Linked DNA regions of Schizosaccharomyces pombe. The protein of the gene in region 1 binds, or shares a complex with, the protein of each later gene. Each region holds a gene or a part of one and is shown in the gene's direction. Other genes may lie near its edges. The genes, in order: fyv4, rsm25, mrp4 and mrps8.

Region 1 (7,815 bases):
TTCCAGACAGCAAAAACTATACTGAACATCACGCCCGTGTCTCTAATGTAATGGAAATGATTAGAAATAAAACAAGGTTACCGCCAAGGACGATAATGGATCTTACAAAGCTATACATGGAATATCTTTGCCACCAATCCAACGATCCTTCAGTTTTACAGGAATACTTATTAATTGATCGAGATGTCTTTGGGCCTTTTAGTGTACGGGAATCCCACTGGAAAAAGCTCGATGAAGGACAAGATTTGAAACAGGTTAGTACTAGGCTTTTAAGCACTAACGGTCACCCTGGTATTTCTGTGAATGAAGCAAAAATCAAGTCTGGTGAATCTCCATATGAGAAATATTACCGTCTTCAGGGTGTTGTTGAGACAGTAACATCTGGTGTTGCTGCCAATGGGTCTTCATAATCTACGACTTCTCATTAAAAAGAAATTTTCATAGTCAAATTATCAATGCTATATCTCGTTGCATTTCCTACTTCTTAAAAAGCAGTTTGTTTAGGGAAAGGAGTACTCAAACGCACCTTAATGTCATTGTAAAGTCATTGCTAGACTGCATGGGTATACAAATCTTAAAATTATTTGTACATGAATAACAAATTATCTAAAGGAGCTAGAGAAGAGACGTAAATGTTTTAAACTTTCATTAAAACAATATGTAAAAACCCATCAATGTAACAGAAATCTCGATTGAGCTCGTCTAAAACGCTCTGAAGAAAAATTGTAATACCATGAATAACTGGTTTAACTATTAAGAATTTATCACATGATGGAAACAAGTCGGGAAGGCGTTTATTGAGAAACTCACCAAGAGAACTACCAAGAGGTGCAGAAGTTTGTATAATAGGAGCATTGGCCCCTAAATAAATTTTTAAAGGAATGAATTTGGATTTTGAAAAAAGTATTTTTATAGCAATGGGACGGAAATCATAGTAATCATGATTGAGTATTGCATTCCAGTAGGTGTCTGTTTCTGCCTTTGAAAGAGCGATTATTCCAGACGAACTTCCGTTACGAACGTAATCAGACTGTAAAAAGTTAATATGGATTTACCCCTTTTGTAAATAAATCATATATGTTTTTGTGATAGAGAACGCACCTCTTTTAAGCAGTTGAAAAAATATGTTCGAAAAGTATCCATGGTTTCCATTTGAAGTATTTTGGTTGTAGGAAATAGACCTGAGCGCAATTGAATGCGCCATAGCACCGGCGCTCGAGGAGTATCCGGATCAAACACTGTTAACAAATCGAAAAGTAAGCCAACAGGCCAATGCCTATATTATGATTAATTTACGGAAAGTTACTTTGGGTAAACGATACCATTTAAGAGGAACCCCATTATAATCCAACCAACATTCTGATAAAGGGATTGAAGGTGCCAACAGACGTTGAACATTTGGGAGTATTTGAGCAAAATATGATTGTCGCGGGACGTTAGCCTTAGGTAGAATATGGTGAGCAAAAAGGAAAAAATAAATTGAGTTAAAGAATATTAAATTACTACTTGAGTGAACAAATCACATACTAGATAGGCCAGAGAATTACCTTCATAATCAATGCGCACAGAAATAGTGCCATTCCAAAGGAGCTCTGGAATATTGCCTTTATTATTATCGACATTCATTTTTAAAAAACATCTCCAATACTGTGATTAGAAATTGTGCTTTTGTTGTATACTTAACAAACTCGTGGGTGGTTGGAATGCGTTGATAAATAGCTTAGAGTCAGACATTCACTATAATTAGTTAAATTAATGTTTTTACAATTAAAGTAAGTGGGCTTTAAATACACATAGTAGAGTCTTCAAAAAATTCACCCGAAAATATAACTGGTAATTTATATGTTCAAAATACGAGTTCCTGCTATACAAAAACCGCAATTAGGAATTTGTAGATTCACTGTATTGATTAGTTAATAGACACGTAATGACTTTTCGGAAGTAGAAGTTTGAGATATTCAAGGGACTTGAAAGTTTGCATGCAGTAAATCTCATAAAAGAATTAAAAGCAAGGATTTATATAGCTAATAATTGCAGGCACTAAGCTTGACATGGTCGCACTATGAGTCGCTAGTACGTTTGTGAGACTTTCGCATACGTTCCAGAAACTGTACACAACTTATTTAAACAACCAAATATTTTTAAAACAATACTGGTAAATATGTTGATCTTGAAGAGGATTTTCATTATAAGAAATTTTATATTTCCTTTTTCTAACTGCCGGTATGCCTCTACTGTTCCTAGTCCAAGATCAGGTATGAGATTTCAAAACATTAGTGCAATTTAAATTCCTAACAAGATTCAGGGATTTCTAATACAAATGATTTCTTTAAAAGAATTGGAAGAGATACTGCAGAAAAAGTGAACGGAAAATTCGAGTCTTGGGATGGTCTATTTAGGAAAAGTACAAAAACTATGAAAAAGGAAGGTATTGATGTACGTACAAGGAAATACATTGCAAGCCAAAGAAACCGATTTAAAGAAGGGTTTATAGTTAAGCCATATCCAGTTATGGTTAAAAAGAATGGAGGTGAGCGACGCAAACGTAAATAATAAGTATATGGAATATTATATTCTTTTGAGACATTCTTTCTTCTTTTTGTAGTTGAGTTTTTGCTTGAGTTCGAATTAATCTAAAATTTGCTTAAAATAGCCAACACTGTTCAAAGCATGTCTTTTCTCGACGAAGATGTGGAGCCTAGAACGCAAAGCCGATTAAACAATTGTCCATGAAACCATTTAGCAAATTCTGGAGAATTTTCCATTAGTGCGGAATTGGCGCTAGGGTATTGTCTCCCTCTTTCCAAGTTATTTTCATTTGTTTCGTTCACGGGCTTCCATTCCCACTCTCCTGCCCAGATTAATTTAGCTTCAATTTTTTCTCTAGTCCTAATATATAAAAAATTTTCTTTTAGCTCCATTAAGTCTACACCATCGCTAAATTCCTTTAGGACTGATGTATACTCAATAACTTGTTGATCATTGCCGGATACCATCCAAACTATACGTATAGTTGGTATTTCTATTTAATGGTTATAAATTTTTAACTTCAGCTGCACCTTAAATCGTTTGTTAGCAGATTCTTTTTGAGTATGTGTGCAAAGGTATTCGTTTGCGTTTGCGTCAAAGGGCTTGGTCAATTAGATGAGCCAACTGTGGTAAATTTTTATGTTAGGTTGATATCAATATGAACAGCAAATTTACTCTAAATGTGTACTTAAAGGCATAAGGAATATTTATACTATGTCATTAATCTTCTAGTACTAATCTTGGGCATTCGTTTCTTTTGGCATGGAAATTCGCTGTCGCGTTATCACAAGCCCTGGAGAACTAATTTCTTTGACCGCATTAGTTGTGTTGAGTGATTCCTCATCATTTTTGCCTATTTTTTTTAACTCTAAACTTTCATGCTCAGTGAATACATCATCGAAATCTTTTGCATCCTGGATGGATCGTTTAATTCTTTTATCGCGGATTTGCATGTAACTAACAATACAAGAGCTAACAAAGACTATTCCTCCTACCACCAGCAAACCAATTAATCCTTTTATAAATCGAGGCGTATCAGTATTGGGATACATTATAGGTGCCCACCAAATATGCCAGATATTCTGACACATATTCATCAAAAACACAACAACTCCTCTTTCCTGATCATTATCCCGGCAAATGTCATTTGCCCAAGAAAACCAAACTGCTTGTCCAGCATATGTACAACCAGAAGCGAAATAAGCAAAGAATTTTGCGCCATCTGGCACGTTCCATGCTAGAAGTATTGTAGCAGAAACAGTAGTAATTACGCACAGAAAAAGTCCAAAAGGCCATCTTGGGTTTCCAGCTAATTTATCAGAAATAACACTAGCACCTAACGTTGATACTACGCCAACAGCTGTAATCACAGTTGGGTAATTATTTATTTGGGCAACAGAAAATTTGTTGCTCCATTTCATCCACTGACCCATCAATACATTGACAGCTATAGCTTGTGTTTCTCCGCTAAAAATCCAAAGGATGCACAAACCGTAAATTCGCCATGAACGTACAATATCCTTTATCGCTTTTAGCGTTAATGGCTTCTTCTTGGGGCGAGCGGGTAGCCTTTTGAAACTTAATTCTTTTTCTTGTTCTGTAAAATAAGGAGCCTTGGTTGTTTCTGGAACGTCAGGAAACAGAAAGAGCCCATATAATGAAAGAGGAATCGTCAAAATGCCATCAATTATAAAAAGCCAACGCCAACCAGATAAACCACCTTTACCATTTAATGATGAATGAACTGCTGTTTGCAAATACCCAGCAAACATTGTGCCGACTAAACCAGAGGCTGAAAAAATTCCGGCACGTTTGCATAGTTCACTTTCTTTGTACCATGCGCCCAATATATAATGCGTACCAGCAAATGTAGATGCCTCCGCAACCGCCATGAAAAAGCGTAAAATCATCAATGCTCGAACGGAATGTACCGCAAATGAAAAAATCGTCATAAGTCCCCATAAAATATTCATAACCGAAAACCAAAGTCTTGCTGGTACTCTCTGTAATGCATAAGAACCTGGCAATTGTCCTATAATGTATCCACATGTAAAAACAACGTTTATATCTTGCAATTCATTACCATGCATTTTCAAATCCTCTTGCATACCACTAAGGTATGCATTGTTTATTGATGATCTATCCAAGTAATTAATAAAATATGAAACGCAACAGTAAGAAAGTATGAACCAATCTATTTTTATTAAAAGCTTTTGTTCAACTTTGTTTAATCCATAATAAGGGGAAAAGGTTTTTGCCAACCTATTTAGTAACGCCATTACGACTTGTCTCACTTATGAAATATTCACGACAATTTACAGAGGAGACCTAACTTAAATTTTTATGGCTTTAGAAAACGTACAATTTCAATGGATTCTCATGAAAAGTGCCTATATTAAAGTAAAGCCAGGGACCTAAGCAAGGAACAAACACTTCGAGTCAAAATCGAATTGCAGACTGTTGGAATATCAATATGCTCCAGCCAGGAAAATTTTTTCTTTAATTTTTCTGAAAAATCAAGATTATAAGTATCGATCGAGCCTTCTAAAAAGTGACAATATCAATGCCGGAAACCCAATCTTAATTTTTAGATGTGCGCTGATTACTCGGAATTGGCTAGCAAGTTGGATACTTATTCTCGACGTAGCCACAATGAGTACTATACTTTGCTGCTCTATTTGTGGAAATTAACTGTATTGCAAAAAACATCTAACCTTTCAATTAATAAGCATTCGGTTCAAGTGGCTACAATACAATAACCACTATTTGCGAGATTAAACATACTATTACAGTAACCAACACATTTGAAATGTAAAAAATTGCCATAGTTGAAGCTATTCAGCGTCAGCGAACATCTTCGGAGAGCTCAAATAATCTTAGCTCTTAAGATGGGGGTTTTTTCTGCCGAATACTGTATCTGTTTGACTTTTATTTTTAATACGTTGGAGTAACCGCTGTATTCTTGTGCAACTTGGTGTTTTTGAAATTAACAATGGCACTGTTGATGAACGAAAGTGAATTATAATACATTTTTTGACAGTACCAATCTTATGGAAGTGCCTTGAAATCCTGTTACGTTACGTTTTAGCAAGATCGCTTCTCTTATGATTTTCTTGTTTCAATGGTTTTCTACCCATAATCAATGAAATATGTTTACAAGGGTTACGAGTTTTGTAAAGCAAATGCACTTTAAAAATTGACCAGAAACTTCCATATATTAGAACCAAAATTTTTTGGAATACATTTTAACATAGTAAATTAAAATAAGCCGTTTACTTATTCTAATTTACAGAAGCGCTTCTATAATGTTTAAGTAACGAACGTTTTTGTCACCCAACACCACCCAACTTCGTATCCCAAGATTTATAACTTGTTCGGACAAACATCGTTGGTAAAGACTTGCATCGTTCATTACAGAACGAATTTTATTATTTATAGTTCACATTTGTGAATCTTAAGATGCAATGTCTGCTGAGGGAAAAGCCAAGATCCTTGGCCTTAGTCAATAAGGACCATGCTCTTATGTTTCATTCGGTTCCTCAGAACAAAAACTCTTTATCAGTATGTGTTGCAGAATTTACGGCATTGTCAGAAAAGCCGTTAGAAGGATTTCGAAAAATCTCCAGTCATCGAATTTATGGTACTCTAGGTCTGATTGAATTAGAAGGGTCCAATTTTTTGTGCGTGATTAGTGGAGCTAGTGAGGTAGCACGTGTGCGAGATAAAGAAAGAGTTTTTCGTATCATGGAGGTCTGCTTTTACAGTGTTAATCGTTCAAACTGGGATCACATTCGACAAGAAAATTACTCGCCTGATATTCCGGATGGTTACGATACCGATACCCAAGGCTATGATTCTTACAAGTATGCCGCTGAACCATTCAGTAGTCTCAGAAAGCTATTAACAAATGGATCATTTTACTTTTCTCTCGATTTTGACATTACTACCCGACTGCAACTTCGTACGTCTCAAACAATGACGGAGCCTCAATATGATAGCATGCATACTCAATTTATGTGGAACGAATTTATGCTTAGACAGTTGATCAAATTTCGCTCCCATTTGAATGGGGATGAAAAGAGTGCATTGGATGGATGTCGCTTCTTTACATGTGCCATCAGAGGTTTTGCGAGCACCGAACAATTTAAGTTAGGAATTCAGACTATTCGGCTTTCTTTAATATCTAGACTGTCTTCGCTTCGCGCTGGTACCCGATTCTTGTCACGTGGCGTAGATGATGATGGAAACGTTGCTAACTTTGTTGAGACGGAGACAATCCTCGATTCCTCTAAATACTGTGTAAGCTATTGTCAGGTCCGTGGCAGTATTCCAATTTTTTGGGAACAAGAAGGTGTTCAAATGTTTGGTCAAAAAATTGATATAACTCGCTCTTTAGAAGCAACTCGAGCTGCTTTTGAAAAACACTTTACCAGTCTTATTGAAGAATACGGACCAGTGCACATAATCAATCTTTTAGGGACAGGTTCGGGAGAACGCAGTTTATCTGAGCGTCTGAGACAGCATATTCAACTTTCTCCGGAAAAAGATTTAATACATTTAACGGAGTTTGACTATCATTCTCAAATTAGATCCTTTGAAGATGCCAATAAAATACGCCCAATGATTTATAGCGATGCAGAAACTTTCGGGTTTTATTTTGAGAACAACGAAGGACAATCCATTGTGGTACAAGATGGTGTTTTTCGCACCAATTGTTTGGATTGCTTAGACCGAACAAATGTTATTCAGAATCTTGTTTCAAGAGTGTTTTTAGAACAAGTTATGATATATACTCGGCAAAATGCTGGTTATGATTTTTGGCAAGTTCATTCAACGATTTGGGCAAATAATGGTGATGCCTTAGCTCGCATTTACACCGGAACAGGAGCACTTAAATCTAGTTTCACTAGAAAGGGAAAGTTAAGTATAGCGGGTGCACTTAATGATCTCTCTAAAAGCGTCGGCAGAATGTATATCAATAACTTTCAAGATAAGGGGCGACAAGAAACAATTGATTTGCTTCTTGGCAGATTAATTGACCAACATCCTGTTATTTTGTATGATCCAATTCATGAGTATGTTAACCATGAGCTGAGAAAAAGAGAAAACGAATTTTCTGAACATAAGAATGTCAAAATTTTTGTTGCTAGTTATAACTTGAATGGATGTTCTGCTACTACAAAGTTAGAAAACTGGTTATTTCCCGAAAACACACCTTTGGCAGACATCTATGTGGTTGGATTTCAAGAAATAGTGCAATTAACTCCGCAGCAAGTAATAAGTGCT
Region 2 (5,340 bases), 860 kb from region 1:
AAAAAAAGAGCAGAATGAGTGAATGAACGGATCATTTGGCAAATTATCATGAAATCAACAACCAAGGAAATGTTGTACATCAAGGTGTTGTAAGAGAGTGGAGAAATTAATAATAAAAGTTAATAATTCACAAAAGCTTGAACTTTTAAAAACATTACGCAGTTAAAGTGCAGAATTTGTTTTTTTTTCGGTCTCTGATTCTTTAAGGAGAGGATAACTTTTGAAATACGATTTGGGAATGAGTCGAATCAGAGAGCGAGTTGTATCATTTCGTACTGCGGAAGAACAAATAAGTTTGGAATACACTTTAACGGCTCTAGAATAAAGCTTCTGCTGAATTAGGGCAACCAGCCAATAGTTCCATATTCGAACGTCAAAGTTTTTTTGCAACTTGGATATAGCTTTCATGGTAATTAAGGTACGCTTAAAATCTCGATGTTTGACAAAAAAAACGAGTTGGGACGCCAAAACCGAGACCTCAAAATCGACATTCAGCCTTATACGTCCCGTTAGGAGAGACACAGCACGAAATTGAAGGTCGTACGACGAATGAGGGCAATTGAGAATACCATTCAAGAGGATTATAAGAGACTTTCTCTGAAAGAGGGAATGCTTGCAATTTAGTTGATTCTCTAATAAAAAAAGCAAAGCCATGGCATCGTTCAGCCAGTAACAAATCGATTTCGCTAAAACCGTATTGGTGGTTGGAGACAACTTTAAGCTTCCCGGCTTAATTCCAGATATATTACAAGGAGGTGAACTTTGCGTTATACAAATCAAATCTTTGTTGCCCAAATTCTTCATAATGTTACCAGAATAGTAGGTATTTATAACGTATAAAATTAAATCGTGATAATGAAGCTGACTTGCGGCTTGTAACATTTGAGACACTAAACGTTCGTTTCGAATATACGGGTCAATTTTCCAGAAAAATGCAAAAGCAGAAGAGTATTGACGGTTAACTAGTAGAGCTCGCATGGAAAAAGAATAAACAACTTGAAGATACGCCAATGAAGGTCGCCAAACAGAATGCTGCCAAACTGAAATCAGACTCAGTATGTCTTTGTAGTTACCTTTTTCTGATAATGGTTTAAGAAATGCCGAAACTATTCGATGGTCGAGAAGATAACTATTGTATTCTTCCAGCTGAACAATATCGCGCATTAAAACCCAATTACGGTTTTTTGAGAGTAATTGTACAAATTTTATAAATGCATCTTTTGGCAATGGTCCCATGCCTGCACGAGACCACTGTTTATAAAGAAAATGAGCAGTATCAACTTGGTTATCACGATATGCTATGGAAAACAAAAACGCATAAACGTGTTGCAAAGGAAGCTGTTGATTTTGGAATCTCAAAGGAGCAAATATATGACCTAATGACTCTGAGAAGCAGAAGCGTTTTAAATTAGAGACTGTAGAGGAATCCATCCCAAGATGGGAATTATGGAAATGATACACCAAACACAATTCAACGTACAGACTTTTGAGATTTTGGGGTAACTTAATGTTACTCCACCAGTTTTCTCGAAAATTTTGATATAAGATTGCTTGTTCAGTCAAATTGCATGAACGGAATCGTTCTAAAAAACGGAGGCAGAGTTCAACAAGAAAATCTTCTTTTTTATTTTTTTTGGCGACATTAATCCAAATGGGAGTTATTTTTGCCAACGTTTCAACCTCCAGTTTTGAATACACAATGAGGCAAAGATCAGGATTTTTATCAAAACATTCGGCAAACCGTTTTTTCACGTAAATTAGGAATGGGTTTTTATGTTTGTCAAAAGGCACAGTAACCTTTTCAGTTTTATTATCAGCATAGACTTCACTGACTTTTCGGATAATGTACATTAAATCGTTTTCACTAAGAACAGCACCTGCGCTGGAAGGCAAACACTTGTGAAATAATTGATTTTCTGCAAAACTTGAGAGAAATGCTTCGTTTGAAGCAGATTTCGAGTATTTATGTAATTCATCAGAAGACGCTTGTCGAGGCCTGCACCCAGTTACCTTTTCATGATGAACGCTAAGCTGGTTTAGTGACCGCACAACAAGACGATTTGGGAAAGGGATTTTAAATTCCCTTAAACGTAAATGTTTTGTCCATGCAAAAAGTAGTGGAGATACACAATTTCGCATCTCTTAGCCTGGCAAGCAGACAAAAGTCGTCCCCAAAACGAGAGGCGTGGAAACGAAAAGACGCGTTATGAAGAAAAGAAACGATAATCAAATTAAAAGGATCACTATTAATGAGAGAAGGGGGTACTTGATAAAAAAAGAAAACGAGAACTCGATACGAGATGATGCATATACTTCCGTTCCCTTTCTATATGATGCGATAATTCAAACATTAAACTGTGCGAAAAGGCTCAATAATGCATCTAAACATTTCATCCAAGGTTTCCAAAAAACAGAAGGTGGTATAAATACAGCTAACTGAGCAAACCTTCCAACGTTGCGAAGTTGGGTTCTAAGCAAAACCTAAGATTGCTATTTCCTCATTAACAGGCAGCGTTAGTGAATTAACGGAAACCATCGCTATAGTTTATTTACGTTATTTTGTTATAATAGCTCGTTATTGTGTAAACATGGAAAGAACATTCATGAGTAAAAAAGAGGTCCCTTAATATAATTAAATGCAGAATATCCCTCTAAACTATTAAACTATCATTCATCGATCCTCTTAAGAATCGCTAATGAATAACGATCAATCGGCCATCATCATATATAGGAATGGCATTGAATGCAACCAGCATTTAGGCACGTTTGTTGACTCATTAGTATTTAATCAGCATTTACAATATCATCGAATACACTTTCGTCAAAGAACACAAGTGTAGTCTATTTACCTTACTTCTTCGTTATAAGCTACAGATTAACCTTACCTAGGTTATATAACACTCATCATCCAGAAGCGAATATCGTATTCTAGCATTGAGATTGCCAGCTAGCAGGTAAAATCAAATACGGAGTATAAATATGACTGCGTTATAAGTGAAGAAATGAAAATAACTGCTAAAAATGTATGAGCAGGCAAGAATTCAAGTAGTTGATGTCCATTCATAATAATACTGTACGATCAATGGCTTTAAATATTTGCAGCACTTCATTTTCACTTCAGAACATGCTAGGTGTAGCGGCATTTGCTGCGCTAATTTACTCAGTCAGTTTATGACAAAATCAAATTAGCAAATACGCATACAGCTTCACAAATACAGTACAGCCATTTAATTTGCTTTACGAAACATATAATTGATTTTGTCTAATTAATCTTAAAATTTTTTTGGAGTTTTTTGAACCATTGTTATTAATAATTCTAACGGCTGCCGGTAAATATTTAATGAAATCAGTGAAAATTAAAAGTATAAAAAAAAAAAAGTTTATTCCATAACAAAAAATTTTTAAGTATTAAAAAATTTTTAAGCAGTTTAACTTGCTTTCCTATGGCGTTAACGATTGATAAAAAAATATAAAAAAATAAAGGCAATAAACTCTATATACCTTTAGCAATTATAAAAAAAATATCTAAAAAATAATAGGGACTTTCAATCCATAAAATTAATTTAGATGAACAATCGCTTAGTTTAAATTCCGAATTTACAAACAAGCCATATCTTAGCAAAAAAAAGGCAATAGATGTGTTTAAATTTATAAATAACTATTTCATTAATAGTGTTCGTATCCTTGTGTGTTCTGAAATAAATATTCATAATATCTTACCATTAGGTTATACTCAGTAGCTACTAAGATGAGGCACACTAGTACCGTCAGCTAACACTAGCTTGGCCAGCCCAATTCCTCTTGGAAGCCATTTTCACCAAAAAAGTTGGTTTCTTGCGCTTATAATTCACTTTTTTAGCAGACTATCCATATAAGCGATTGTTTATTACCTCAAGTCATACTCTCCATTATTTATAGCGCCGTGGATGTGTTTTGCATAATTAACCCATCTCAATCATTATTCAATCCTTACTTCCATTTTCACGTTTCTATTACTGATTATTTTACTAATATACTATTTAATAACTTTTTCAGGAGGAAGATCCAATGCCGAAATTTAATGCAAATGGTTTGCTACGCAGCTTTGCAGCTGAAATGAAAAAGCCATGGACAGCAGAGTCTTTATGGTACGAAACGGTTGCTAAACATCCCCCAACCTTTCAATATGCTAGACGTATTGTACCATTGTACGATCCAAATAAGGTAAAATCCCGTGGTAAACGGTTACGAAAATCAATGTATCAGCCTCAGGAAATTCAATGGCCAGAAGATAAACTCCGTAAAAGGTTTTATCGAGATCATCCTTGGGAACTAGCAAGGCCTCAAATCATTGCAGAAAATGACGGTAATGATCAGCAATATTGTGATTGGAGTCACATGGATCAACCGCGCAAAGCATTATCTGGCGAGAGTGTAGTGCAAAGAACTTTATGGCTGATTGAAAACTCTAACATGCCTGTAGAAAATGCTTATGATCAAGCAAGAAAGGAATTTTATCACCTACGCGCTGAACAAGAAATTCAGCAACGCGTTGCCCATGATCAGGCTCAAGCATTGGGTGCTGTATTTACAAAATCTGATCTGGAGTTGGGCTATGAAATGGATCAAAATGCTTTAAATTCTTGGTTTGATAATGCTTCACAATACGCTGAGGCTAATCGTACAAAGTTCACAGACCCGAGTGTAGATATCTCTAAGACGACTCAGTAGTATTTAAATTCACAGCTGATATATCATATTGTCTCCTCAAAAATTGATTTTTGTTTTGTTTTTTTTTTTTTCAGAATTTTCTTAGTACTATCCCCTTTCAAAAATAAAACAGATATTTTTCATCTCTTTATGTCTTCAAATTAAAACAATCTATCAGAACACATTAAATTTCTACCATCTATTTGAATACATATATATATATTATAAATATTATTCAAAGCTATAGCAAGCTTTTCAGATGACACTGCCGTTTAGCCAGCTAGCGAACTTTCGCTCCAAACTTTTAAAAGTGCTTTAAAAAAAGTTCATCATTTATTGAGCAGCCAACATAGATAAGAAGATGATAGCGTCTATACCCATAACACTTTTTGTCAGGAAAGGAAAAATTTTTCTAATATTAAACGATTGCCAGTAATTGATTTTAGTCATGAATCACGAAATGCCACTTTTTTTCCCAAACAAAAAGTTAAGATACATATCAAAAAAACCAAACTCATGCCTCAACAGGATTGGTCACCATCTCACCTATGTAGACTCTAAAAATTACCATCATTTACCTTCCTTTCTTAGGTCGAGGTTTTATTTCGTCTTGCGGAACAGGGTGGAGCATGATTTTATTGGGCAATTGCG
Region 3 (5,325 bases), on another chromosome or scaffold:
TGATTTGGTTACATGAGTAATAGTGTCTAGAAATATGTCTATACCCATGTGTGTGTCTCTCAACAGAAACCATTACTAATTTTATTTAATTCTCTTTATTGTTTATGTTTTAGCTTCAACTCTAATTTTTGGCCAAAATGCCAATTTTCATAATATCATTTTGCATCCGGTTTCCTTATAATAGTTGTTTAATTGGTTAAGTCAAAGTAAGTATGCAGGTAAATCATGAATTCTTTATAGTATATGTTCAATGTTGCAATATTATAGTTTATGTTTAGACAATGTCAAGCATAAATAAGCTTAATAATGATAACCAACTTACTGAAGGTGTATATATGTGTCAGTTTTCAAACCAAAACCTTTTTATTTATAACCGTAACCCTAAGTTTTTATGAATAGTATAGTATACGATATACTATATATGTACATAAGAAAATGATGAAAACTCAAATTTCTTCTTTGGAAATGCTCTGTAAAATGGCGCTAGCCATCGCAAGATTAGACTTGAACAGAGCTTTTTTAGAATTATCCACTAAAGGATTTTTCCGAACATAAGTTTTTAAGAACCAATCCACTTTCGATGAAAGGTTTTTCTCTGCTTTGCAGTTTTCAAATATTTTTACGAGTTGTAAATCGTCTTTAACTCCCAAAATTATATCGGTAAAAAAGACCAGTAAAAACGTTTGCATTTGGGCATTAATGGCCATAAAATCCACATGCTAAAATTGAGTTAGTAATTACAATCAAATTTTTAGAATATACGTACTTTGAGGATAGTTAAGGGCTGTGCAGCTTCAATGACTAAAGACGCATAAAGCTTCGCCAAGTTAACTATGCGTCTCATGGATATTTCTCTTTCTTCACTATCATCATCTGGTTGTAGTTCATTAAAGAAATCCCAAAGAGAGAATTGAAATGACTTTTTCAAATTGTGCTGCAATGTACAACATTTTAACGCTACCAAACCATAAAACGGGTTATACAATTTCTCATTACCAACGCAATGCAAAATTACATAAGCTATTTCAGGTAATTGATTCCTTTTGAGATGCAACTTCAGCACTCTTTCCCATGCATCAATGTAGTCCTAAGTTTGTTAGTTTAAAGTTAATGAAATTTAGAACGAATACCTCTGAACCAACAAGGGCAACGAATATCGAAGTTCGAAGAGTTGAATTCAATCTTAACTTCTTAGCAGCTTGTAAAATTTTTGAATGGGCCGTCAGTTCTTCTGATTTTTTCTTATCCTGTAATGCTTCAGTAGATAATGTGTTGTCACCAGATGGAACATTATTCCAAGAAGCTCCAACAAGCCACCATCGACCTTTCGTCTCAATCTGCTCAATATCTTCTAAAGTAACTCGTAAAGGCTCTCTAGCATTTAATGAGCGGTTGCCTAACGAACCCAAAAATTTCTTTAGCTGATTTACAGCTTCAAATTTAGATTGGGCGCTAGCATTGGCAACTTTTGTTTTTTTGTTTTCTTTAAGATTAGTGATCGATTCTACCATAAACTTTGTACGGACAGATATGGTTGATGGATCAGCTGAAGCTAATAACAAATTCATTTCCGTAACAATATCTTGGAGAGACGTCGGGTCATCTGATCGCAACTGCCCTCCACAATTGAGGACAATTTTGAGCAGCATTTCAACGTTCAATTCGGTTAAAGAGCGTAAAAAAAGGCGAATCAAATCATAAACAAGAACACATGAAACAAGTTGAAAATTATACAACTCAACAAAAAATACAATCAAGTTAGAAGTCTCCTTATGGGAAGAAAGAGGTTCTTTCTCTTTTGATTTATAAAGCTGCAAAAAACGTTCCACTAGGGTTTGCAATAGATGAGCACCAAAGTCATTGCCTACAATGCGGTAAAGAGCAGTGGCTAACGCAGCATATACTATGGCCAATTGATCTAGCATAGATTCTCTTCCCATTACGGTTTGTAGTAGCAAATTGGTGATGGTAGACGTGACTGAGTGTCTTGAATTTTCCATGTAAAGGACTTCAATCTCCTTAATAATTGAAGAAATATTTGCGATAGACAATTTGTTTAGCGATCCTTGTAATTTCCGACGAAGTCGCAGAGCATCTTCTGACTCCTTATCTCCCCCTAATTTTTTCCGTAAAGATGGAGGGACATACTTTGAGCCGACGTTCGCATTAGGTAAGGATGGGACTGCAGGCTTCAAAGGATCCATCCGAATCGGCTTAGTTTCAGGTTGATGGAATTCATCAGAATTAGACTCAAACCCATGAAACTCTTCCTCCTCCTCACCCGAATTTCCTTCCCTTTCACTTTCCAACTCATCAACGCTACCATGGTCACCTGTATCGTCTGAAACTTCAGAGTCTTCTGAATGACCATATGAAGGATCTTCAGTGCCCGGAACGCCTATGTCATCAATTTCTTGATCTAGGTCTTCTAAAAGCCATCCAAATTCCTTGTCAATTTTTGAGTGAGCAGATTTATCTTTGCTTTTGATGCCAAGCATCTTTTCTAAATGAGCGATTTCACGATCATCCTCTTCCAAAGCAATCTTATGCTGAAAAGCAATGGGATCGAGTAATTTACTCTCCTTTGCCTGTTTATTCTGTGAAGATTTTTTTTTTGTAGATGACTTTCTGTGAGCATCTAAGTAATCATCATTAAGTTCAGAAGACTTACTATCACCTTCTTCTGTAATCTTCCGGTTTTCATAACCATTTTTTCCTCGAGAGATCCTAGCAAATTTTCTTTTTTCACGATGAGGTAGATTATGATTTCGCTTTCCCCGCCTAGCACTCGAATCTATCAATTTGGTTAAATATACTGACCAAATCTATAAAAAAAAGCTTACCAGATTCTCCTATCTCTTCTAAAATACTTTTGGGCAGTTTTAAGCTTCTGCTTTTTTTAATTGGCCTCATACTATCGAATGTTTAAATATTAAACAAACGATAATTAATACTAAAGCTCAAGAACTACCAAATTTTTCAATTAAACGATACCAAAAACTGGTATAATTGCTTTACAAAGAGAAGAATTGGGCCTCAGTCTCGAGTTGGCGTATCGTTTCAAATGAATTTCACAACACTGCTAATGGAACTGTATACAATATCGCAATTTGTTAATGCTATTTAAAGTTGTCACTCTGCTGCTGTATTTTACATTAACGCTCTATGTAGTATCACACTAATAAAGCATATCGAAGTGGAAATGTTGCAATCGTGCAGCGATTTCAAAGTCTTAAAGTACTACTACACCAAACGGGCTTTCATTTTGCTCGAGTCATTCGTGTCTGTATTATGCTTTCACGGAAATTATCACCGGAGCAACTTGTAGCTCGTCGTTTAAAAATACGTGACTGGAATCACAAAATAGGTGCAGTTGTAGCTCCCCATTATTCACCGACATTATCCATTCGAAATCCGGCACCTCCTAGTCAACTTAGTCTTCCTTTATTGTTGTCTTCTGGTGCTCATTTAGGACACTCTACATCCATATGGAATCCTTACACGCAGCCCTTTATATATGGTAAAAGAGAAGGTATTCACATAATATCATTGGATCAAACCATGGTTTACCTACGAAGAGCTATATCCGTCGTTAGATCAATAGCTAAAGAAAATGGAATTATATTGTTCATTGGCACCAGAAACGGCCAGAAAGATTCTGTCGTTGCTGCTGCCAAACGTGCTAGAGGTTATCACATATTTGATCGTTGGCTACCAGGACTTCTCACCAATGCCAGAGAAGTACAAGGAAAGCTTGGCGGTTCAATTTTATGTAAAGATAATAGAGGGAAATTGATTCAAACTGATAAAAAACCAAGTTATGTCTTTCCTGATTTGATGGTTATACTAAACCCATTAGAAAACAAAAGTGCTTGTCTAGAGGCACAGAAAACTCATGTTCCAACAATTGGAATCATTGATACTGATGCGGATCCAAGGATGGTTACCTATCCTATTCCAGCAAATGATGATTCTTTACGGTGTACAGATTTAATAGCTGGTTTACTGAGTAGGGTAGCTGAGCAAGAGTACCAAAAAGCTAACCAAGCCTTCGAAAAAGATAAATTTACACTTCCTTTATGATTCCCCTCTCATTGTTTTGAAAATGCCTGTATTCTTTGATTTTTCTAAACATGATTAAAGATAAGGTCTGATTAATTTTCACTAGTATTCAATAAAATTAATGATTCGTAAACGAAAGGTTAAAAAGAAAGAATAAATTATTATGGATAACGTATATATCACATTTCAATGATTTGATGCCAAAATTTTTGTTAAAGACAGACATATTTTGCTGTGCGAAAGGAAATCATCGGTATGCTTTCACATTTTCTATAAACTCTTTTTTCAATTGTTGAATAGTCATCTTTCTAGTATCCCTTGAATTATGATTGTGTCTACTAGATACACTGAGAATTTCTTTGTCAACTTCGTCTTCTCCAATGACAATTTCATAATTATAATTTAAAAGTCTTGATTCACGTAGCCGTTTGCCAATAGATTGTGCTTCAGCGTTTATGTCCACATAATAGGTATTTTTATTGAGTGGGAGAAATTCAGATTCATTGACTTCCTGATTAGACAATTCCTTTTGTACTTGCTTAGCATAAGTTAGAATTCGATCTGTTTGATTGACTGGTAAAATGACAGCATGTCTAGGACTTAGCCAAAATGGCCAGTGTCCATTTAAATGCTCGATAAGGATTCCCATAAAGCGCTCTAAGGATCCAAATATAGCACGATGAATCATTACAGGTTGTTTAATGAGTTTCTCAGACCCGGCATTGTCTCCCGCATCTGTGCGATAATATAATTTAAATCGTTGAGGTAAATTAAAATCTAATTGAATAGTTGCCGTTTGATGCCACTTTCCACGAGCATCTGCAACCATTACATCGATCTTAGGACCGTAAAAAGCACCATCTCCTTCATTGATGATCCACGTTTCACCACTTTCTTGTAAAGCCTCTCGCAACCCGTTTTCTGCTTCATTCCATGTATCTAAAGAACCGATATGCTCTTCAGGTCGGGTGCTAAGGTATAGTTTTAGTTTGTTCATTCCCAATAAAGAATAAACTTGCTTCACAAAAGTGAGAGTATTTTTTATCTCGTCTTTTATGCTCTCGGGTGAACAAAAGATATGACCATCATCTTGATGAAAGCATCTTAATCTAGTTAGTCCAGAAAGTGCGCCTGATGCTTCATTCCTATGTAATGGACTGAAATCTGCAAACCGCAAGGGTAATTCTTTGTAAGAACGTTCAGTACTAGCATATACAATACAATGTCCGGGACAATTCATAGGCTTTAATCCATAAGTGGCAT
Region 4 (5,108 bases), on another chromosome or scaffold:
AACCCTCCATAACCGGGACGTAAAGCTATTTCTGAGCTTGGTTTATACGACATCCTACTCACTCTGAATCATAAAGGACGAGTTGGCTGAAGACAATTCGCTTTGGCGGTTGGAAGCTTATATATACCAAACCCTAGATTAGGACTCATCATAGTTGTCTTGTATATAAAACCTACTTGAGTTATAAACTATATTAAATCAAAAAACTATCAAGAAAATATTTTATTTATCACTTTGTTATTTACATGCTTAATACATTCGAATTTTCTATATACTAAGGTCTATTTCTATACTTCTCTGAGCACGCAAACGCAACATAAGTCTTATTTAATTTCTGAACATAAGAAATATAAGCTTATCTTTAACAGCTTTTCTTAAATTACCGCATAATTTTGTATAGGTTTATGTTTTTTTAAAGGTTCCAAATCGACGGATTTTTGAGTTTTAACCCTTCTTTCTTTATATCGTGGTTGTGATTCAATAAAAGTGAACCCAATTGTTATTTGTAACCATTGACGAAAATTATAGTACATTGAATTACTATTTGTTTACTAGTTCTATATTAACAATACCGGGAGGTTCAAAATCAATGATTACTACTTGTTTTCTTTTTCTTGTTATATTTGCTTGCTTGAAATCCTCTTTATAGTTATAATACATTTTTACAACCTGCTTTTGAGAATATTAATCTGGCAACTTTCAAGTAAATGATTTCGGTAATTGCACTGATTTTTGAAAAGTGTTGATTTCGAACGTCTTTCAAATTAAAACGGACATTTTTTTATGAAATTAAAATGCCTTGTGCTTTGTGTAATACTCGTTAAACAGCTTACCGAAACTAACAACCTTTTTAAGAAGCGAAACTTAATTAAATCAATATATTATACTGAGTAAATCAGTAATTTCTGGACGATCGGCCACATAAAGAAGCATTATAAATCGTTCTCCATACTGTTAGGCTTTTGTTTTCAATTCACGTTTTCTTTTCTGTAATTAAAATATCAGTAAAGAATTCGTTATGCCATTATTTTATAAAAAATTTTTATAATCCTATACAATTGTGAATTTACATTGTATTCAAATGCTTTTTTACATCCCTATATTTTACAGGCGTTCGCTGTTGTACCGCTTGTTTTTTTGAACACTGCTTATTATAATTTTTTCGATTATTACATTTGCGAATACCTTTCGAGGATTTTGGAACTACTAAACGCACAAAAATTCGCTTCCCACTTCTGACAACTTTGTGGGTTTCATGGTAATTTGAATGCTATAATATTAACAGATTGACACAGCGATTTAGATCCATATTTTATTCTGTACAAAGTAAATCTCTAACATTTGGTAGACGGCTTTTGCCGTAATAACCGTTGGTTTTGCAATTTTGCGCCTTGTTTTCCAAACATAGTAAACCGGTGCTTTTAGTTTATTATATAGTGATTTATTGTGAACTTTAGTATCGTGTCGTTAATATACTACTATCCAGTGATTACTGCAATGTCCATTAACTTGCTAATAGTGTGTAACACTAGCTACACCGTTCACTACTTACTATTCTTCCAGTACAGAGAGAGGTATTTGGAAGTGACTAGCTAAACTGCATTCATACCTCTTTTCTTTCCTCAAAACACCATTCTGTATAGAAAAAAAAGGCTTTTATTGTTGGACTGCTTATAAAAGATTAGGATTGTGTTAAAAAAGTCGAAATGCAATTGCATTATGTTTTTTCGCATTTGCAAAATTCATTTCGCGCTCGCAAGTCGTTAGCAAGCGTTCCTAACTGTAACAGTGTGCTCGAGTTATGTGCTGTTTTGTATCATCAAGGATTTTTAAGCTCGATTCAACGCGGAGATATTCATGGACCCGATGCTTTACCCACAATCACCACTAGGCAAAATGTAGCGACCCGCCGTCTATGGTTGGGTTTAAAGTACTTTGAGGGAAAACCGGTTCTTCACTACATACGTGCAGTATCAAAGCCTAGTAGAAAGGTGAACTTGACTCCTTCTGAGTTGTTGCAATTTGCCAAAGGAAGGAAAGTTAGCTTTGTGAATGGGTTGGAGCCTGCAGAAGTTGGAATTGTAGAAACTAAACATGGTATAATGAGTATTGACGATGCAATTAAGAATAATTTGGGAGGAAACGTTATATGTCGAGTTAAATGAGGCTTCGATGGAAAAAGTTATTATTACGTACAACTTCTTTCCGGATACATTGTCTCCTTTCTCTATGTTAATAAGAGAATAAACATTACTCATTTGTTTTGAAAATTGAAGCAATATCTAACAGGCTGGTTAGATTTAAACTAATATGTTTAAGTTTTCCTTCTCTTCAGCTAAGGATCAATGGCAGAATTCCTTTTAAATCTCCCACTCCTTTCATAATAGTTTGTGAATTGAGATACTGCATATTTACACATCCCATTCATTAAAAAACATAGTCTTAATTCCCATTCCGCCAAAACATAAATCCTTTTGTTTTACTATTATTCGACTTGTGATTTACGAATAAATGTTTTTTTACACCTGAATTTATCCCGTCTCCTTTTGTCAACTCACAATATTCCATATGCTTAAAATTATACCCGCAGAAGCTTTTTTGGAATAGAAAAAATATTTGTGTTACTCTAGTAATGTAATGATAAACATGTTTAAAATACATAAGGAAAATCGTTTTATAAAATATATAATCGATGGAGATTGTATGCGACTTCTAAAGCATTGTGTAAATTAAATAAGGTTGATTAAGTACATAGGAAGTATTTACAAATGTATAATCTGTGAATGACAAGGATATGTATTTGTCAATACTGCATTTGAAAAATATATTATAAAACCATTATTAAGAATACAATTTATTTAGATCTATAATGACTATGGATAACAACTAGTCGCAATGGTGTAGTTGGGAGCATGACAGACTGAAGATCTGTTGGTCATCGGTTCGATCCCGGTTTGTGACACTTTTTATCAGCAATTACAGCTTTGTAAATAAAGCATTTAACACAATGAATTTTGTGCCAACGCTGAGTAGGAATAATATCTTTCTCTACATACTCTTTAACTGGGCAATCCTGGTAATGTATTTGAGTAATTAAGCAGTATTGAGTCTGTTTTCATCGGCATTGTTATTTAGTAAAATGATTGATTGATGAATGTACACTCTTTCGTTAATTGCAAGAATTTATGCTGTGATAAACAATCATTTGCGCCTTGGATTTTAAGTAGGCTAAGATTTATTTTAAATACTAATGATGTTGTAAATATAAAAAGGACGGGACTCTTTTTAAGAAATATAACTAAATAACACGTGGAAATGACAAAAAACTTGGGTAGTTATTTTCAGAATTGTTCAAGCAAAGCTCAAATTTCTTTCTTTATATATTTATTATTTTCACATGTTCAAGATTTTATTGTCAGAAGCAAATGGCTTTAGTCCACAGTAAATTTAAATAACCAAAAAAATTCATTATTCCTATTAACCGATCTTTATTAACAATATTTTCTCTTCATTCCATACATGGTCGATTGTCCTGCTGCAGCTCAAATCACTATTTCAATTTCATAGCACAGAGCCAACTAACCTTACTCAATGATCCACTAAACAATATTTCGTCTCTTAAACAACAAATAGTCATCTTGATTTGCATTTAATTCAATTGATAATATAGACTTATACATTTATACCTTCCACACGGCTTTGCTGAATTGAGGATATTATAAAACTTTAACCGAATTTGCCAAATATGGAAGAGGAATTCCTCTCATTTAAAAATTTTTTACAGGAGGATCAAGATAAGAGGGAGAAAATTATTCGTCTTTCTCGTGAAATCACAATTCAAAGTAAACGAATGATCTTTCTTTTACATCAAACATCCTCTTCTGATGGATTTCCTCTACCCAAGGATTTCGACAGAACATCCATTTTTGAAAAAAAAATTCACAAAGAACTAGAAAGTCTGAAGAGAGAGTTGGCTGGATTAAATGCAGACAAGTTCTCTTCTGCTTGTACACACGGCCTTCAAGAGTATGTTGAAGCTGTCACTTTCAAATTCTGGTTACAAACAGGTACGTTACTTTCTTGTAAAGATAGTAGCTTTAGAATTTCTATTAATTTCATCGACTATGTACTCGGTGTTTGTGACATGACTGGTGAAATAATGAGATTCCTTGTAACCAACGGCTCTAAGTTCTCTGTCCAACAACTCACTCAGCAAGTTAAATTTCTTCGTGGACTACACAAAAACTGCTCAGAAATTGAACACTTACCATCTAAGGTCAAGTCAGAATTACAGCAGAAATTATCAGTAATGGAGAACAGCATTTCAAAAGTTGAAGGAATTTGCTATAGTAAAATTTTAAGAGAAGCAGATAAAAGATATTTAAATTTGGAAGTGGATACAGCAACTCCTCCCGAGGAGAAACGATTACGGTCCACATAATATATGATCGACAGCTCTCGACAGACACCTTACTAGTTTATTAAAAGTTTTTCTGTTTTGCAGCTTTTGAAAATCATAATTATTAAGTACATATTTTCGACGATTCAATTATCTTATCAAAAGCTTCCGCTGCTTTCTATATGTTAGAGTTTCCATAAGCTAGGATGTTTGTACAATATAAAGTTCATTTAATAAGAGAGATTTCAACCTAATTCCATCATTTTGAAAACAAATTGTATTTCAATATTTCGCCATATGAAACCACACGTAAAATTAATCATGATGCATCAGTTTCCAAAAGCACTTGACGTTAGCAAAATCTCGCATTTTCCAATAATGACAATCCCACCTGGAATCACGAACAACAAAGGATACTTTTGTTCTGCACAAGAAGGATCATATGAAATTTGCGACAGACCTAGAGTGACCGTACCCATTGTACTCGTATCAGCAGCTGCGGTAAAACTATACGACAATGGTCCATGAACACCTAGCCAAATTTGTAATCCGACCGAATAGCCTCCAATTTTAAATTGTAATGAGCGCGAGCTCTCCAAATATTCGGGTGGCTCTTCAATATATGGATAATCAGTAACCGTTGGTACAGGATTTTGATTGAATGGTAACATCATCGTACAGTCAAAATGTGATATGCCCACTATAGTCC

What was found.
Region 2: fyv4 (region 1) and rsm25 share a complex: the UniProt entries of both Schizosaccharomyces pombe proteins name them as parts of the mitochondrial small ribosomal subunit.
Region 3: fyv4 (region 1) and mrp4 share a complex: the UniProt entries of both Schizosaccharomyces pombe proteins name them as parts of the mitochondrial small ribosomal subunit.
Region 4: fyv4 (region 1) and mrps8 share a complex: the UniProt entries of both Schizosaccharomyces pombe proteins name them as parts of the mitochondrial small ribosomal subunit.

What each region holds. Positions count from the first base shown.
Region 1 is NC_003423.3:3,431,565-3,439,379, forward strand, and holds fyv4 (mitochondrial 37S ribosomal protein mS41 ), read left to right. Parts: upstream 1-2,103; 5' UTR 2,104-2,161; coding exon 2,162-2,255; exon of another isoform or gene 2,256-2,305; coding exon 2,306-2,553; 3' UTR 2,554-2,663; coding exon of another isoform or gene 2,664-2,996; 3' UTR 2,997-3,263; coding exon of another isoform or gene 3,264-4,808; 3' UTR 4,809-5,944; downstream 5,945-7,815. Other genes in the region: U1 snRNP-associated protein Prp39, read left to right, coding at 7-410; autophagy-associated protein Atg5, read right to left, coding at 638-1,030, 1,102-1,276, 1,323-1,441, 1,528-1,626; SPOM_SPBC4B4.12C (uncharacterized protein), read right to left, coding at 2,664-2,996; plasma membrane pantothenate transmembrane transporter Liz1, read right to left, coding at 3,264-4,808; syj1 (inositol-1,4,5-trisphosphate 5-phosphatase 1), read left to right, coding at 5,989-7,815. UniProt on the Schizosaccharomyces pombe protein: Component of the mitochondrial ribosome (mitoribosome), a dedicated translation machinery responsible for the synthesis of mitochondrial genome-encoded proteins, including at least some of the essential transmembrane subunits of the mitochondrial respiratory chain.
Region 2 is NC_003423.3:4,290,396-4,295,735, reverse strand, and holds rsm25 (mitochondrial 37S ribosomal protein mS23), read left to right. Parts: upstream 1-3,773; 5' UTR 3,774-4,047; coding exon 4,048-4,710; 3' UTR 4,711-4,840; downstream 4,841-5,340. Other genes in the region: PPR repeat-containing protein Ppr7, read right to left, coding at 163-2,139; nucleoporin Rae1, read right to left, coding at 5,264-5,340. UniProt on the Schizosaccharomyces pombe protein: Component of the mitochondrial ribosome (mitoribosome), a dedicated translation machinery responsible for the synthesis of mitochondrial genome-encoded proteins, including at least some of the essential transmembrane subunits of the mitochondrial respiratory chain.
Region 3 is NC_003424.3:3,064,176-3,069,500, reverse strand, and holds mrp4 (mitochondrial 37S ribosomal protein uS2m), read left to right. Parts: upstream 1-3,234; 5' UTR 3,235-3,291; coding exon 3,292-4,083; 3' UTR 4,084-4,175; downstream 4,176-5,325. Other genes in the region: sgd1 (ribosome small subunit biogenesis protein), read right to left, coding at 447-719, 767-1,087, 1,131-2,794, 2,844-2,913; SPOM_SPAC24C9.09 (threonine--tRNA (Thr) ligase), read right to left, coding at 4,310-5,325. UniProt on the Schizosaccharomyces pombe protein: Component of the mitochondrial ribosome (mitoribosome), a dedicated translation machinery responsible for the synthesis of mitochondrial genome-encoded proteins, including at least some of the essential transmembrane subunits of the mitochondrial respiratory chain.
Region 4 is NC_003421.2:329,082-334,189, reverse strand, and holds mrps8 (mitochondrial 37S ribosomal protein uS8m), read left to right. Parts: upstream 1-1,623; 5' UTR 1,624-1,706; coding exon 1,707-2,165; 3' UTR 2,166-2,710; downstream 2,711-5,108. Other genes in the region: ago1 (argonaute), read right to left, coding at 1-53; tfx1 (translin family protein), read left to right, coding at 3,746-4,441; DNA-binding transcription factor, CBF1/Su(H)/LAG-1 family Cbf11, read right to left, coding at 4,729-5,108. UniProt on the Schizosaccharomyces pombe protein: Component of the mitochondrial ribosome (mitoribosome), a dedicated translation machinery responsible for the synthesis of mitochondrial genome-encoded proteins, including at least some of the essential transmembrane subunits of the mitochondrial respiratory chain.